Linked DNA regions of Lonchura striata. The protein of the gene in region 1 interacts with the protein of each later gene in a biochemical or structural test. Links are inferred from orthologs where the notes say so. Each region holds a gene or a part of one and is shown on either strand. Other genes may lie near its edges.

The links. The genes of interacting proteins can lie anywhere in the genome.
Region 2: the proteins of TBP (region 1) and BTAF1 form a complex in vitro, tested with the Homo sapiens proteins (2 studies listed by BioGRID). The link is inferred for Lonchura striata from reciprocal best matches to the Homo sapiens genes TBP and BTAF1.

The regions. Positions count from the first base shown.
Region 1 is NC_134605.1:42,585,842-42,593,692, forward strand, and holds the start of TBP (TATA-box-binding protein), read left to right. Parts: upstream 1-4,782; 5' UTR 4,783-4,878; intron 4,879-6,457; 5' UTR 6,458-6,640; coding exon 6,641-6,694; intron 6,695-7,360; coding exon 7,361-7,692; intron 7,693-7,851. Other genes in the region: PSMB1 (proteasome subunit beta type-1), read right to left, coding at 1-21, 1,460-1,567, 2,802-2,905. UniProt on the Homo sapiens protein: The TFIID basal transcription factor complex plays a major role in the initiation of RNA polymerase II (Pol II)-dependent transcription.
Region 2 is NC_134609.1:17,469,808-17,477,201, reverse strand, and holds the start of BTAF1 (TATA-binding protein-associated factor 172), read left to right. Parts: upstream 1-4,377; 5' UTR 4,378-4,835; coding exon 4,836-4,849; intron 4,850-7,394. UniProt on the Homo sapiens protein: Regulates transcription in association with TATA binding protein (TBP). Removes TBP from the TATA box in an ATP-dependent manner.

The DNA of each region.
Region 1 (7,851 bases):
CCAATGACAGTTCGTTCTGTTCTGAAAAACGTAAAATTTTGTTGCAATATTAGGCTTAGCATGAACTACAGCAATTTCTGATACAGCAGCTTATTATGAAAACACCAAATGTATTTTCAGTTTTTCTAGTGCTGTCAAAAACAGTTGTCTAAAATGTAGTAACAGATCTGTGGTGTATAAAAGGCACCTGCAACCTACATCTTGAAGAGGACTCAATAAATGCAGGACCACGCAGATGTCTTTCTTCAACTACTTCCTTCTTCAGCTCTCAGCAGGACTGACAAAAAGAAATTCTTCATTTCTTTATGCACTCCTGACTCCAGCTGTAGCAATTCAGTCTTACTAGAAGATCTGTTATACACTGGGGAGCCACAGATCCTATCACTCAGTCCAATTTTTACTCCATCAGACCAGAGGGCTGCATTAAGCTTGTACAATGGTTGCATGACATTTATGGTTTTGGTGGCTTCTCACAGCACAAACAGAAGTTACCTGGCTGCAGATGCACTACAGAAGCTTAGCTCTCTGCTCAGTTTTGAAATGTTTTATGAACACTAACCATGGGAACACACACTTGAAATTTTAATTGTAGGAAACAGAAAAGAGTCTAGAAATATTAATACACAGTGACCTACCCAAAGCAGTCATTCAGAAAATATCTTAAAACAAAATCTTCTCTCAGCCTGTCACTAGAATTACATAAAGCCATTGTGAGCAATATGTATACTGTACCAGACTAATCTCCATCTGGACAGTATCAGAGAATCAAATATGTAGTAATAACAAGTTAGCCAGGAGAAGCCAAGTTATTTTGACTTCATGTCATCAATCTAGAAAAATAAACAATAACCCACACAAAAAAAAAAAATATTTATGTAGTTGATGACAGCCTACAAGGCAAGCACCTGCTGCAGTAAAATGAACATAAATAACGTGTAGCTGTAAACCAAGAAGATGCTACCCAGGTGAGTCAAACTAAGCATAAAATGAGACTAGAAAGTTCAATTCTGGAACTACTAATAGGTTTACCTCCCCTAAAACAAACACCTCTCTAAGTGCCAGGTAGAGAGATACAGTACAACTGGCAGCAGTGGGCACACTTACATACCACCACCAGATCTCCTGATGAAGTAGAATGAGTTACCATATAATTAAGTTTTGCTATAGTTAAGTTAGGAATTCTTCTGATTATCCAGCCAAAAAACTCCATGTTTAAGTTTGTTTCATGCGAAAAATGTTCTGTTCTCACTTAGCTTCAAAAGCATGAAACAAGAAATCTGGCTATATTTACAACATCACATCACATCTTGCATTACAGCAAAGGTCACCACAACTCCAAAATCTACGGTGTTACTGTGCTTTTTCTTCTAAGAATTCTGCTTAAAGCAAGAGGCAGATGATATGGTCAGCAAAACAAAAGATTTTTCGTCTTTTTCAATCCTTGCAGATCTGGACTTACAGCTTGTAGCATTTTGGGCTGTCCCGGGAGTGAATTGAATAGCCTTCACTCAGACGCGTGTCAGAGGCAACGATACAAAAGTCTTCTCCAGCAATCGCCAGCACAGTCCTTAAAAAAAGAGTACGGGTAAATCATGGCCTTCAGCACAAGCATCTTCTCAAGTAACACAGAAACAAGCTAGATAGTAATTCTACACCCAGACTCATGTTCTGTCAAGTATCTTATTCTCCTTGCTATGTTTCCCACTATGCACATCCCTACTCAAGCCAAAAAGAAGAAGACACTAGACAGACTGAAGAAAATATATACATGTGGCCCTCTACTCTGATTTAAATTGTAAGGCAACTTGGTAAAACAGAGACTCTACACCAGGCAAGAACCAGACCAAATGGATGAGGTATTTTATATGCCTGATAAAACAAACAAAAATCCTTCTAAAACAAGCAAAGTACTGAGCAACTGTATCACTACACTTAAATAAACGTCACTTTTAAAATCTGGTGTTATTACTTGCCAACAACCAGTACTGTGATCACCACAGGTGTACTACCATTAAGTAACAAATTACTTAATTTAAAAAGCAGTAGTCATTATAAGAAAAAAAGCTTACCTGGCCAGATCATGCCACCAACTCAGGTGTGTTAAAACAGTGTTAAAACATCACTTGCCTTTAACAGTTTACAGCAACGTAGCATTCAACCCAGTAACACGTTTACCAGCAGCATGGTAAAAAGCAAAGGCCATAAACTAAAACACAAGAAATTCCACCTCAACATCAGAAAGAACTTCTTAACGTTGAGGGTGGCAGACCATTGGAATAGGCTGCCCAGGGAAGTCGTGCAGTCTCCCTCTCTGAAGACATTCAAAACCCACCCGGACACGTTCTGGTGTCACCTGCTCGAGGTGACCCTGCCTTATCAGGGGAGTTGGACTGGATGATCTCCAGAGCACCCATCCAGCCCTAACAACTCTGTTACAGGATTCCGTAACAGGACCATTACCTGGCTTTCCTAAGCCACTATAAAGAAACAACCCTGCGGGGAACAAAAGATGCGTACTTTAAGACCAGTCGAAGTTTAGGGAGCCCGAGCGTTCCAAAAGCCACACGGACAGGCAAGAACACCCCGAAAGGCTGCAAGGCCTCAAGGCAAGCCCAAGCCTAGCTCCTCCTTGTGCTGCCGCCCTCTCCCTACGAGGAGGAGACCGTGGGGGGAGGTAAACCCGCACTGGGCACCGAGGAGAAGCGGGAGTAAGGCGAGGCAGCGCCAACCCGGCGCGGCTCTCCGCTGGGCCCATGCCCGGGAGCGTGCCCGTCCCGCCCGCCGCCTCCCGCGCCGCTCACCCTCCGTTGAAGGTGTACGGCGAGAAGCGGTGGTGCTGCACGGGCGCCTCCAGCCCGTAGCCCGCCTCGGGCCGGGAGAGCCCGCGTCCCGCGGTGGGCAGCATCGCGGCCGCCGATCGCTGCTGTCTCACGGCGAAATGGCGGCACCGGAGGCGGAAGCGGAGCCGCCCTGGGCGGGGCGCGCAGCGCCGCCTCCTCTCGGTGCTCTGCCGGCCGGAGGGCGGCGGCGCCGCTGCGGAGCGGAGCCCGGCCCGTGCCGCCTGCGGCGCGGTGTGTGCCTGGGCCGGCAGCGCTTGGACGAGAGCCGTGCCCGCTCCTGGAAACACGCAGGCTGGTCGGGAGCACCAGTCGTGATTGGGCGGGTGGGCAGCAGCGTGGCTCCTGTTCTGTAGGGAGAGCGCCTTTGGAACCACCGTGAAGAGAGTGGGAATCAGAATCATCAGATGGCTGGAGTTGGAAAGGACGTCAAAGATCATCTATCCTGTCATGGGCAGGGACACCTTTCACTAGACCAAGCCGCTCAAAGATCCATCCTGCTTGAACACTTCCAGGGATGGGGCACCCACAACTTTCCTGGGCAACCTATGCCAGTACTGCACCACCCTCACAGCAAAGAACTGCCTCCTAATATGTAATCTAAACTCTCTCTCTTTCAGTTTGAGGCCATTCCCCCCTGTCCTACATGCTCTTGTGAAAAGTTCCTCTCCACCTTTGTAGTAGGTCACCCTGAAGCCTTCTCTTACCCAGGCTGAATAATCAAAATTATCTCAGCCTTTCCCTGTGCTTCATCCCTCTAAGCATCTTGGTGGCCCTCCTCTTGACTTGCTCCAACAGGTCCAGGTCTTTCTTGAGCTGGACACAGGACTCTAGATGGGGTCTCACCAGGTCCTCGAGGTGGGCCATGGGTTGTGGTGCCAGGCACCATGGCGCAACTGGAAACAAGTGGGAAGGGCTGGGATAGAAGCTCGAAGAGGTACTAGGGGAGAAGGACAGGGCGGGGACAGTGAGATGCAGGGGACACATGGTGCTCCTGAGGAAAAGTGTGTTGCCCTGCTCAGGAAGCACAGCTGTGGTGGCTGCAGTCTCCATGGGCACTGTGCAGACACAGCAGCAAGACCCGCAGGTGGCTGCACAGCAGTGTGGAACTCTGTACAGCTCCAGTGTGAGGAACCATAGCTCCTGTGAGGGCCTGGTGCACTGCCAGGGACCCCCACAGATCCACAGAATTTGGAAGGGACCACAAGGGGTCATCTGGAGCAACCTTTTTTGCTCAAGCACCTGACATACGGTTGTGTCCAGATGGTTCTTGAACATCTCCAGTGAGGGAGATTCCACAACCTCTCAGGACAATCTGCTCCAGTGCTTGGTCACCTGCACAGTGAAGAAGTTCTTCTTCATATGCAGGTGGAACTTCCTGTGCATCGGTATCTGCCCATTGCCTCTCGTCCTATTGCTTGGCACCACCAAGATGGGCCCAGATGAATCCTCTTCACACCCACCCTTTAAATATTTATTCACATTTATGAGGTCCCCTCTCAGTCGTGTCTTCTCAAGGCTGAACAGGTCCAGGTTCCTCCGCCTTTCTTCATAAGTGGATGCTCCAATCCTTTATCATCTCCGTAGTCCTCTGCTGCATCTGCTCCAGGAGCTCCATGTCTCTCCTGCCCTGAGGAGCCCAGAACAGGACACAGCACTCCAGACGCAGCCTCTCCAGGGCTGAGTAGAGGGGCAGGATCGACCTGCTGGCAATGCTCTTCCTAATGCACCCCAGGACAGCACTGGCCTTCTTGGCCACACGGCACTGCTGGCTCGGGGACAGCCTGTTTGCACCAGGAGCCCCAGGCCCTTCCCCACAGAGCTGCTTCCCCGCCGGCTGGCCCAGCCTGTGCTGGCGCCCGTGGTTACGCCTCTCCAGGTGCCTCTCCTGCCCTCGCCCTCGATAATTTCCGACGGTTCCTCCCTGCGAAGTCTTGTCCCGCCGGCGGCGGGAAGTGACGCGCCGGGCGCGCCGGTGGAGCGGGAGCGGGGGCGGGGCGCGGCCGGGCGCTGAGCGCGGCGGGAGCGGAGCGAGCCGCAGGTACCGAGTGCCCGCCCGGTACCGAGTGCCCGCCGCTCGCCCCTGCCCGCGGCCGGGCTGGTGGGGCGCGATGGTGTGGGGCAGGCCGGGCCTGGAGGGCGGGGACGATGCGCGGGCCGGGCTCGCTCCGCACCTCCGGGGCGGCCTGAGCCGCGGCCGGGGGAAGCGGAGGGGCTCCCGCGGCGCGGAGGCGGCGGCCGCCTTTCTCTCCCCGGCGCGGCTCGGGAGCGGGAGGCGGCCGAGGCGCCGGCCGCGGGATGGGCGCGGGCAGCGGCGGGGCCGGGGCCGGGGCCGGGTCGGGTGGGGAGCGAGGAGGGCTGGGGCGCGGGCAGGCTGTGGCCGCACGCCGAGCGCTGCTGCGTGGCTGGTGGCGAGCCCGAAAGGGCCCCCGGGGGTGGGTCGGGGCCTCCTCCGGGCTGTCTGCGGCTTCTGGACTCTGTTCCCTCGACCGAAACGTCGCCCGACGTTTGTAGTGGAGATCCGAGCAAGCCGCCTTTAGTGGGTAGAGGAGGGACTTCTGCGTAGACCGTGCCCTGGGTGCAGGTTTTTGTATGCCTGGTATCCAGCCTTTTTACTAAATAGCTGGGCTGTCGAGGAGTTGAGTTTGTTTCTTCCAGGATAATATTTAGGCCTCTAATGTTCCCACGTTGTAAAACCTGGGTGGTCTTCTTGATACCTTTGGTGATATCTTAAGGTCATGGGTGGAAAAAAGCAGACCTTTCTAGCTGCAGTGTAAATATTAATGTAGTTCTGAGTTCTCATATCTTAAAAAAAAGAGAGGCTGCATAGGCTGTCTTTGCATTTTGAGGTGGCCTACGTCTGGCCTGATGTATTTGATGACCTTGAGTATCTCTTAGCAATAGTTAAAAAACTTAAAAATTAATGGGATAATATTTTATATAATTGGTATAATAAAATTTAAATCATCCACTTCTGTTTATTTCCATAACAGAGCAACAGAAGTGTAGTTAGAAATGAAAGAAAACCATTGTATGTCTCACTTGCGTACTTGAAATTTGTTTTCACATATTTCTTTTTTCCTCACAAAATGTATGTCATTACAGTTTGAAATCTGTCAGTGCTTTGTTTTATGGAATTGGATGGAAGAGGTTTTCCTAGCTGTGATTTGAGCTGTGATGCTCTTCTCATAGAAGAAAAAAAGTCATTTTTGAAAGCACAAGCCTTAAAATAGCCAGGAAGAGACTACAAGCAATGTCAATTAGTAGCCAAGGGAATTAAATTCTAAAAAAATCAGTGCTTTTGCAGCTGAAGCGAAGCTTGGAGTAGAATGAGCATCAACAGCTTGAGCTGTTAGTGCAGGAAGGTTTGGTTAGATAGAGGCCTGCTCGTGTGAGTCAAGTGACCTGCCAGGGACTTCAGCAGAATCATACTGCAAAGTTTCTATGGAGTGTGCCTGAAAAAGGTTATTTTTATGGATTGTGCATGTGTGTGTGCGTGCGCGTGAATGTTCTTATATGTATTTGTACGTGGGTGTCTCTTATCTGAGTCAGCAGCTGATAGATTTGCTTTTGGGTTTGTGTTTAGATATTATTCTCAAGATATTACTTTTTTTTTCCAGGCTCAGGACAGTGTTGTAGATCCATATTTCTCTGAAGCTGATGTTTTCCTAATACTTTCAGCTTGGCTTTAAAAGCTACTTCGCTGGAATGTTTTAAACGGTTAAAAAACCTCTAGGATTTGAATTTTATTTAAATTAATTGAAGGAAATACTTCTGGCCTCACCAAAGAAATAACTGGAATCATGGATCAGAACAACAGTTTGCCACCCTACGCTCAAGGCTTAGCCTCCCCTCAGGTAAAAACGAATTATTTAAAATGTAACTGTGATCTGAATTTCCTTTATGAAAGTGCTTTCTCTTTCTTATATCTACCTTCACAATTTTTTTTTTGTTAACAGATCTGAAAAATTCTACTAGGTATCGAATAATACTAGTATAAAGCAGAATTTTGAAACCATTGATGTCTATATTCAGAAGTATAAGAAACACATGGTTTTTTATACACTGACTGTAAGAATATATGTGGGATTTCTTAATGGGGTTCCTCTTAAGTGGAAACATGACTGACAAGTTGGAAAGATTTAATTTAATTTAGGTGGTTGCTGCTTAAACTATGTACATAATGGATTATTGCTGGGCTATGAGTGCAGTGGGTACAGTGAGCACAGTTGGTGTTCAGGCAGTTTCAAGTTAAATTGTGGGTCAAAGTTGAGACACACTTGCAAGGTAGTGTGAGAAGCACATCATGTTCCCTAGATTCCTTTGGGTAGTACTTTATTCTGTAGAACAGCTGCATTTCTGAGGATTTTCTAATTTTAATGATTTACTACTATATGCTTCAGGTTTGATATGAGCAACTTGGCTAACATAGATTTATTTTTGACTCCTCCTGAAAACTTTGTCTCTTAAAAACAAAATGGAGTAATGGATCTGTGGCTTTTGTGTCTTGTTTTCTTCTGCAGGGTGCAATGACTCCAGGAATTCCAATTTTCAGCCCGATGATGCCATATGGCACAGGACTGACACCGCAGCCTGTCCAGAGCACCAACAGTCTGTCCATATTGGAGGAACAGCAGCGGCAGCAGCAGCAGCAGCAAGCAGCACAGCAATCCACGTCACAGCAAGCGACACAGGGAACATCTGGTCAAACCCCCCAGCTCTTCCATTCACAGACTCTTACCACAGCCCCTTTACCAGGAACCACACCTCTGTACTCCTCTCCAATGACTCCAATGACTCCCATAACTCCTGCAACACCAGCATCAGAGAGCTCTGGCATAGTGCCACAACTACAGTGAGTGCCCCATGTGTTAGTGCATCATGTCTTCTCTCAGACAGGCTTTTAAAGACTTAGGACCAAAGTCACATCGGGAATTAGGTACTGCATTTTGGTGGGAAGGGAGGTCCTGAGAACTTATGAGCCTCCTGTAGCAATATGAGTAATTTTTACTTT
Region 2 (7,394 bases), on another chromosome or scaffold:
GAGGCTCTAAATGTAAACATAACAGCTTGTTTGAAAAAAAGACCAACTGTATGCAATTGATAGATAATACCATTTCCTAAAAATGCCACAGTAACAATAAACTACCCAAACTGTAAAATATTTATTGAACTTAGGATAGCATGGATAACTGCTAGACAAAACTAAGAAATTTACAGGGTTTGTACATAAAAGGTTTTCAAAGGATATGAGTTATTTATGGCTTCATAAGATGGGGTGGCAAACAGAGCTGAGTTAAAAAATGGGAAATTCATGATAATGGAAATATATGCTGAAGAAATTAAAGTCCATGGCTACCAAAAACAAGGTGGTTGTACAACCTTATACATCAAGGCTGATCACTTATACAGAATATCTGTTTAAAATGGAAATAGGCAAGAAGCAACACTTCTGAACAAGTCTGTGCCATCTCATGAGATAAAATCCCTGAGATTAGAAAATTACAAGAAGAGAAACACAAGTTTTCCATCTCTCTTTGTCATATCACGAGCCTCTCATTCAGAAAATTGTCACAAATTGACAATATTAAATATGATCAGAGGTAATGAAATCTAATGAGATAATTACACAGCTCTGGTGACATTGGGAATCTTTTAGATGCTGGTGATTTTCCCTACCTAGTGGTTATTGCAATCCTGTTTGATGTTGAGAAATTGAAGCCCATCAAACATTTTTCAGAAATGTTGCTGCTGCATGTTGTGGGTGGCAATGCTTTGCCCTGATTTGTCTCTCAGAATCCAGCACTTCCTTGGTATCTGAGGTGTTTTTAAACTACTAGAGCTATCAGTCAGCATCCAGCCTCCAGCACTTATTGTGAAGAACTTAAAAGGAAGGCCATGAACAAGTTGACTTTTTATTAAGAGGCTTTCATAACGTTATGCAGCTACTAAAAAACTTCATTGGAGTAAAAATAAGACAATTAAAAGCCATGAGTTGGCATGGAAACTAGTGAAAAATAAATACACCTTTAAATAAAAATCAAACAGAATAGCAAGAGACACTATTAGTTAGAAACAAGAGAATACTCAACTAAAACAATTTTCAGCAATAAGAACTCTGATTTTGACAACACTACTAAAGAGGGGCCTAACCTACAGAGATAAAATGTCAAATAAAAACAAGGAAGATTAAATAATACTTGAAGAAGAAGTAGATAAATGTATAAAAACAAATAAGAATTTTAAAGTTTAAATGTTGGAAATAGTCTACAAGATATCTAGTTTGCAGACCTCAGAACAGATAGCATTCTTAAGAAATACATGTTATAAAGAACCTGAACCATTTTCCTGCATAAGTTCATACTGTATAAATGTATCTCCCAGATTTTTTTTGCACAGATTATCAAAATAATAATAGAGATTAAGACACCGGCAGAGAAGCTGTCTAAGCAAACTGCTAAGAAGGGGCAAGCTTCTAAGACTAACTTGTCTTCAGACAAGTTTTCCAAGGGAATTTGGAAATCAAATAACATAGACACTAAAATACATGTAAGCTATTATGAAAATAGTCTTTTTTTATTAGACTAGAAGGCAGCAAATGTTATACCTACCACTACAGAGAGGCTGATGTAATCCTGAGCAGTACAAATCTTCAAATCTTCAGGACACAAACAAAACTAACTGGAAGTTAGTCCTCTAAGAGTCTAGAACATGTAAAAGATTATGTTATGTCAGGTCTAATCAGGAGGGATTCCACTGAAAAACGGTGTCTCAGTCATCTGCTATTTGCACAGCTGGAGCACTTGGAGGCTGCACCTCTTTCTGCCTGGGCTCTGGCAGCCAACAGGGCACAGACCCGAGCTGCTGTCACTGTGCATCTGCAGCCTGAGCAAGGAGCTCACAAGTGAACACAGCTGGCAGGAGGGAGAAAGCAAAATAAAACCAGTTGAGATGGATGCAGAAAGTACTCATTAAAACATACCAAAGGAGTGTAATTACTGAGTTTTATTTAATTTAGGAGCAGGTTGGAGAGAGTATACTGGCACACAACAGATTTTCAGGGGGGGATTCTTTTAACAGAAGAAGAAGGAAGGAAATGTATAGGTACTCCTTGAAAAATAGGTCCAAAAAATGCAAACAAAATTGGTGTGACTTATAGAGGTGCTGAACAGATGCATGGACAAAGAAGAATTAGTTTTCATAGAGTGTAGGGAAATAATTGAGCAGAAGATACAAGTGAATAGTTAAATAATGATGTGCTTTATATAAATATCACATCAAAATACAAATATATATGGTGTGATACTTGAATGAATTGTGTTTGAGTCCAGAATGCCTGCTATAACAGATCATTCTTTCTGTCTTTTGCAGATTGTTTTGCTGGAAGTGCAGTTTAACATAATTTCAGCAAGTACTCAGTGCATACGACCCACTACCAATATTTTCCCTGCATTTATTTTTATCAGGTAGGAGCTGTTCAAAACATTTTATTGCATATTTGATGTGTCCTCTGCCTTGACTGCTATTAAAATTGTTTTTAAGGAATGTAAGAGGAAATAGGATGTTAGAATTGGAAATACCACCTGAGGATCATTTCAATAACGTCCACAGCAGGACAGGATGGCTGTTGATTCCTGGCTAAACAAACACGGAAATACTATCAGGGATGTTTGCTATGCATCCATGTCAACAGCATCAAACATACAAGGAAAATATCTCTGCCCTCAGTCTGTTGCTTGCTGCTCCCTACCCCAATTCCCTGCTTCCCTCCCCATACTTGTCTAAATCAAACATGGACACACACAGGACAGGAGCAGGCATGTGCCTGGGATCACGGGCAGGGACCCAGGCAAGTGCACCTGCAACACGAGGATATGGGATGGCAGAAAGGAAGGTGTGGGGAGTCTTTGGAGTACTCTGGTGAGTGGCTCTTGTCCTCCAGCTATACCCACTGCACTTTTTGTGTGTATTCAACTACAGAAGGTATACTGAGCTGTTTAAAGGTAGCTACTGCATCAGAGCCATGACAGGCAAAAGGCATTATCTGGGTCATTGAACTGTTGTCACTGTGACAAAACCCACGTCCACCACTGAAAAACAGGTCTGTAGTTTGCTCTGGCCACACTCCGTGCTCAGAGGCCTCAGGCTGACTCTCACTGCCACTGTTTGGGGCCACTCCAATGCCAGTTTTCAGTTGCCACAGTGCTCCCACCAAAGGACAGGAGGGACAGGCAGGAAAGCAGCATGCCTGGCATAGTTTAGGAAAGGCTGAAGTATAGGCTGGACCTGCATGGGTAAGGATAGATTGAAGCATTATCCCAGTGTCTTCAGAGAACTGTCAAAAGCCAGTGATAATGCAGAGAGCATTAGGATGTTTGTTTAGAATATGTGCTCGTGCAGACAGAATGAGTGAGCCATACATGAAGAGTTAACTCTCCGAGGAGAGGGAGACCAACCAGAAAGGCTGGGGCGAGCAGAAATCCCTTTAGAAGGGTTGGGTGTGAAGCACTCACACCACAATGGGCTTCAGAGGAAAACTTTATCATACAGCACTATGCAAATTTATGTTTATCCAAGTCTATGCCATCACAGGAAAAAAAAAATCCATTATTTTGTTTCCAACTTATCACATGAAAGGTTACCTACGTCAGCTAACTTTATGTACCAGTCTGGGACCATTAATTTAAATGATTAGTCGAAGGCTAATTTCTTAATCTGGATCTGATGGAAGCTGATAGCGAGCACTTGGGAGCCTGGTGTGCCTGCCCGCGACAAGGGGCACTGCCGGGATGGGTTCCAGGGCTCTTTCAGCATCGCCGGGCCGGGAGGACGGGCCGCTGCCCCAGCCGGAGCGACGGCTCAGAGCGGGAAACAACGTGGCCCCTCACAGAGAAGCCGTGACCGGGCCGGACCAGCCGCCCCGTCGCTGCCCGGCGTGGCTGGCGACGCTTACAAACCCTTGGGTGTTCCCACGCTCGTGTGCCACAAGCCCTCTGCAGTGCCAGCCCGCTGTGTGACAGCCGCCCCTCACTGCGGGGCTCCGGAGCGGCGCCCGCCCGCAAGGACGGCGGGGCCCGCGGCCGAGCCCGGCCAAGCGCGAGGCATGCCGGGAGTTGTAGTCCCACCGGCAGAGACTTCGCGCCGCAGCACCGGGCATGGCCGATGGACAGCGGACCTCGGCAAGAGCGGGGTGCGGCGTTGGTTCAGCGACTACCGACCGCCCTGTCCCGCCGTGTTGGCGAGGCAGAAGGGTTACCACCCAGTAGACATGGAAGGAAAAGCGTTTACTCCGCGTTCTCGTGTCCTTTTCTCCTCTCAGGGTTCGGGACTGGAACTCTGTCTTTTGTGTTCTTCCCCCCCACCATCGCCGTGCAGGTGGAACGCCCCGGCAGAGGCCGGCACCCCCGCCCCCCCACCACAAGCCGGCCCGGCGGGCTCCATGGCCGATCCTGCTCAGTGCGGGCGCTGCGCGCTCCCGCCCTCCTTGCTCTTAGAAGCGCTCCCGCCATTGGCTGCGGCTGGACGCTCTTGCCAATCAGGAAGCGGCTCTCATGGAGGAAGGGAATAAATACAAGATGGCTGCTCATATAAAACCAGGCATTGGGCTTCGCCCCGGTGATGGGGGAATCGAGGCTTTAACCCGCGCTCCGAGGGTCTTTCGCCGCTCTTGCCCACGCCGCCGCCGCCCCGCCCGGGGGAGCGACACTCCGACCGCCGCCGGGCTCTGCCGCGCTCAGCCGCTGCCCGCGGATCGCCGGCGGGGCCGAGGCCGGGTGCGGCGCCCCAGGCCCGAGCGAGGCCCAGCGCCCTCGGCCCGGGCAGTGCCCCGGCCCCCCCGTCCCGCCGCCCGCCGTCAGCCCGGCCCGGCTCCAGGCGGCCATGGCCGTCTCCAGGTCGGTGGGAGCTGGAAAATTGGGGGGAGTTAGGGCCGACAGCGGCGACTCCCGGCTCTCCGTGTGGCCTCGTGTGGGGGAGGAGGAGGGGTGCCCGCTTTCCGTCTCCTTTTGCTTCGGGAGCCTGCGACCTCGCTGCGGCCGCCCCGCTGGGGCCCGGGGTGCCTGCATGCTGTGGCGCCGGGCTTGGGTCCTGGCCGGGGGTGAGCCCCGTGCCCCCTCCCTCCCTCGGGCCGCAGGGGCTCTGCCTGGGGCGTCTCGGGCTTCCTCCTGAGTTCGACACCTTCGTGTTGTTGGCCAGTCTTTCCTAGGGTGATTAAACTGTTAGGGAATAGGAAGTTACGATATTGAGTCCCAAAAACTGGCGAGAAACCGTTTTTTGCGTTTTAGAGCCCTTGGTTGTAAAGTAACCAAAATGAAACAGGCTTTCATGGAGAAAAGTGATCACGGTATTCTGGCTCTGCCTCAAAATGTTGGGCAGTATCTGCTTGCACACATGTGCTCTGGGGTGTGCCAGCTTTTAAAGCATTCACAGATACAGAGGTGTGTCTTAACCGAGCTACAGAGCTGTTTTATAATAAAAAATGCTGACCACAAATTCCTGCTTTTTTTTTTTTTTTTTTTTTTTTTTTTTTTTTTTTTTTTTTTTTTTTTTTGTGTGTGTGTGCGTGAAACGGCCGGGTTAAGCTTCCGAACAGAATAATTGAAAGGAAACCATAAATCCAAATTAAGCTTGTGATAGATTAGCTCCAAGTCACGTGTTGTAGTATCTCTACCTCCAAAGTGCTATCACAAAAGTAAATTCTGTTTCAGTAGCTGTGTGTGAATAAGTTTGCAATTCTATGTAGCAAAGTAAAGGTGTGCATATTTGTAAGGAAATCAGAATTAATGTCAGCAATGCACCTTTTAGGGGCTTCTAGTAGCAGGTATAACAGATGATTCTTTCTGTCTTTTGCAGATTGTTTTAAGCTTTGTAGTTTGTACAAAGTATCCCTTTGTTTTATTCTACTCTTATTTTTTTATGAACTTGTTATATGTTTGTTGTGGCTTTTTCTCATCCCCCAAATCTGTCCAGAAGAATGTGGAAGTAGTAAGGATTGCTGTAACAAGATTACCGTGTACATTGAAATAAGTCATCATGTAAAGTAGAGGAGTCGTCTAATTACATGAGGTCTGGTCAGTCTGCTTAACCACCTTTGCTGATGTACATGTGATATAGAGGCTAACAGGAATATCAAGATAGAGCGTTTCAACTGTGTGCTGAGGCTGTGTCTGCTCTAAAGGCTGGTTTCCATTTCAGTTGCCAAGGTTGCTTTGGTGGAAAACAGCAGTACAAAGATTTAGTTAACACCGTTTGGGAACTGAAAGTAAAGCTAGATGTGGCTCATTCTAAGATTCAGTGTGAAGCATTGGAAGTTGGTATGTTAATAATAGTGTTAGATGTTGCTTCAGATTATCGTTGTAGTATCCAAATGTTACACAACTGAACACAAGGTATTGAACCTCAGGAGAGGTGCTGTAATACTGGTGAGTTGGTACAGAGTTGTTTCAGCTTCATTTGTAACTTAGGTTACAAGCTGAAAAAAAAGAAAGAAGCTTAAAAAAAAAATACACATTTTGGAGTGCTGTAACATCTTGAGTATTCCTGGTAAGCACCAATGTTAATATAATTGTAAGAAGTAATGATGTGTAAATTTTGTCTGTCTGTGTCCCTTTGAAGTTAGACAGCATCTCCTGATAAATGGAGTTTCCTTTCTGCTGCTGGACCATAGGAACACTCATACAGTGTCAGTACTGCTTTCAGAAAGAAAGATACCTTTCCTCACCTTTTACTTCAGAACATTGAACTTCAAAGGTCCTTCCCTTTCAGACATGTTACAAATAGTTTGTGCACTTGTGTGTATAACTGCATAACTGCTTTTTGTTCGGTTTAGTTGGTCCAGCATCTGTTCTAATTCCACTTGTCCTCTAGGTAGTTACAGTTACTGTATTTTACCATAATATTTCATTGTTGAATGCCTCTTACCTGTACAAGTTTGCAGAGTGAGGAAGAAGCTGACTCAAATTCATCTTTCTCTGAAGTCCACAGTCCTTGGAGTGTATACCAAGCATTACTATTAACAATAATTTCATTAGGGGTAGTTCTATATTGGAACAACTCTTTTAAAAATAACTTATTTTGGAAGTGAGGGTCAAAATAGTTTTACATTCTCAAAACAATAAATTATCAGGTGGTTGTTTTCTCAGGAAGTTTTGTTTCTGCTTTTTGACCAGTTGAAAACCTTTCACAAAATCCTAATCTGTTCAGGGAGATAAAAAAAAAACATAGGGAATGCTTTGAAATCTCCACATTAGATTGAGAATTTGCAGCTTTGCTATTAGTACTGTCATCTTAAAAGTAATTGTAAAATATTGACAAAAAAGTCTGATATTTAATTCTGCAATTTATGTTACATGGATTGAAGACCTCCTTCTATAAAACATTTGTGTTGATGCTGTAGAAAACAGACATAAAGCGAAACAGTAGATACCTCATCCCAAAAGA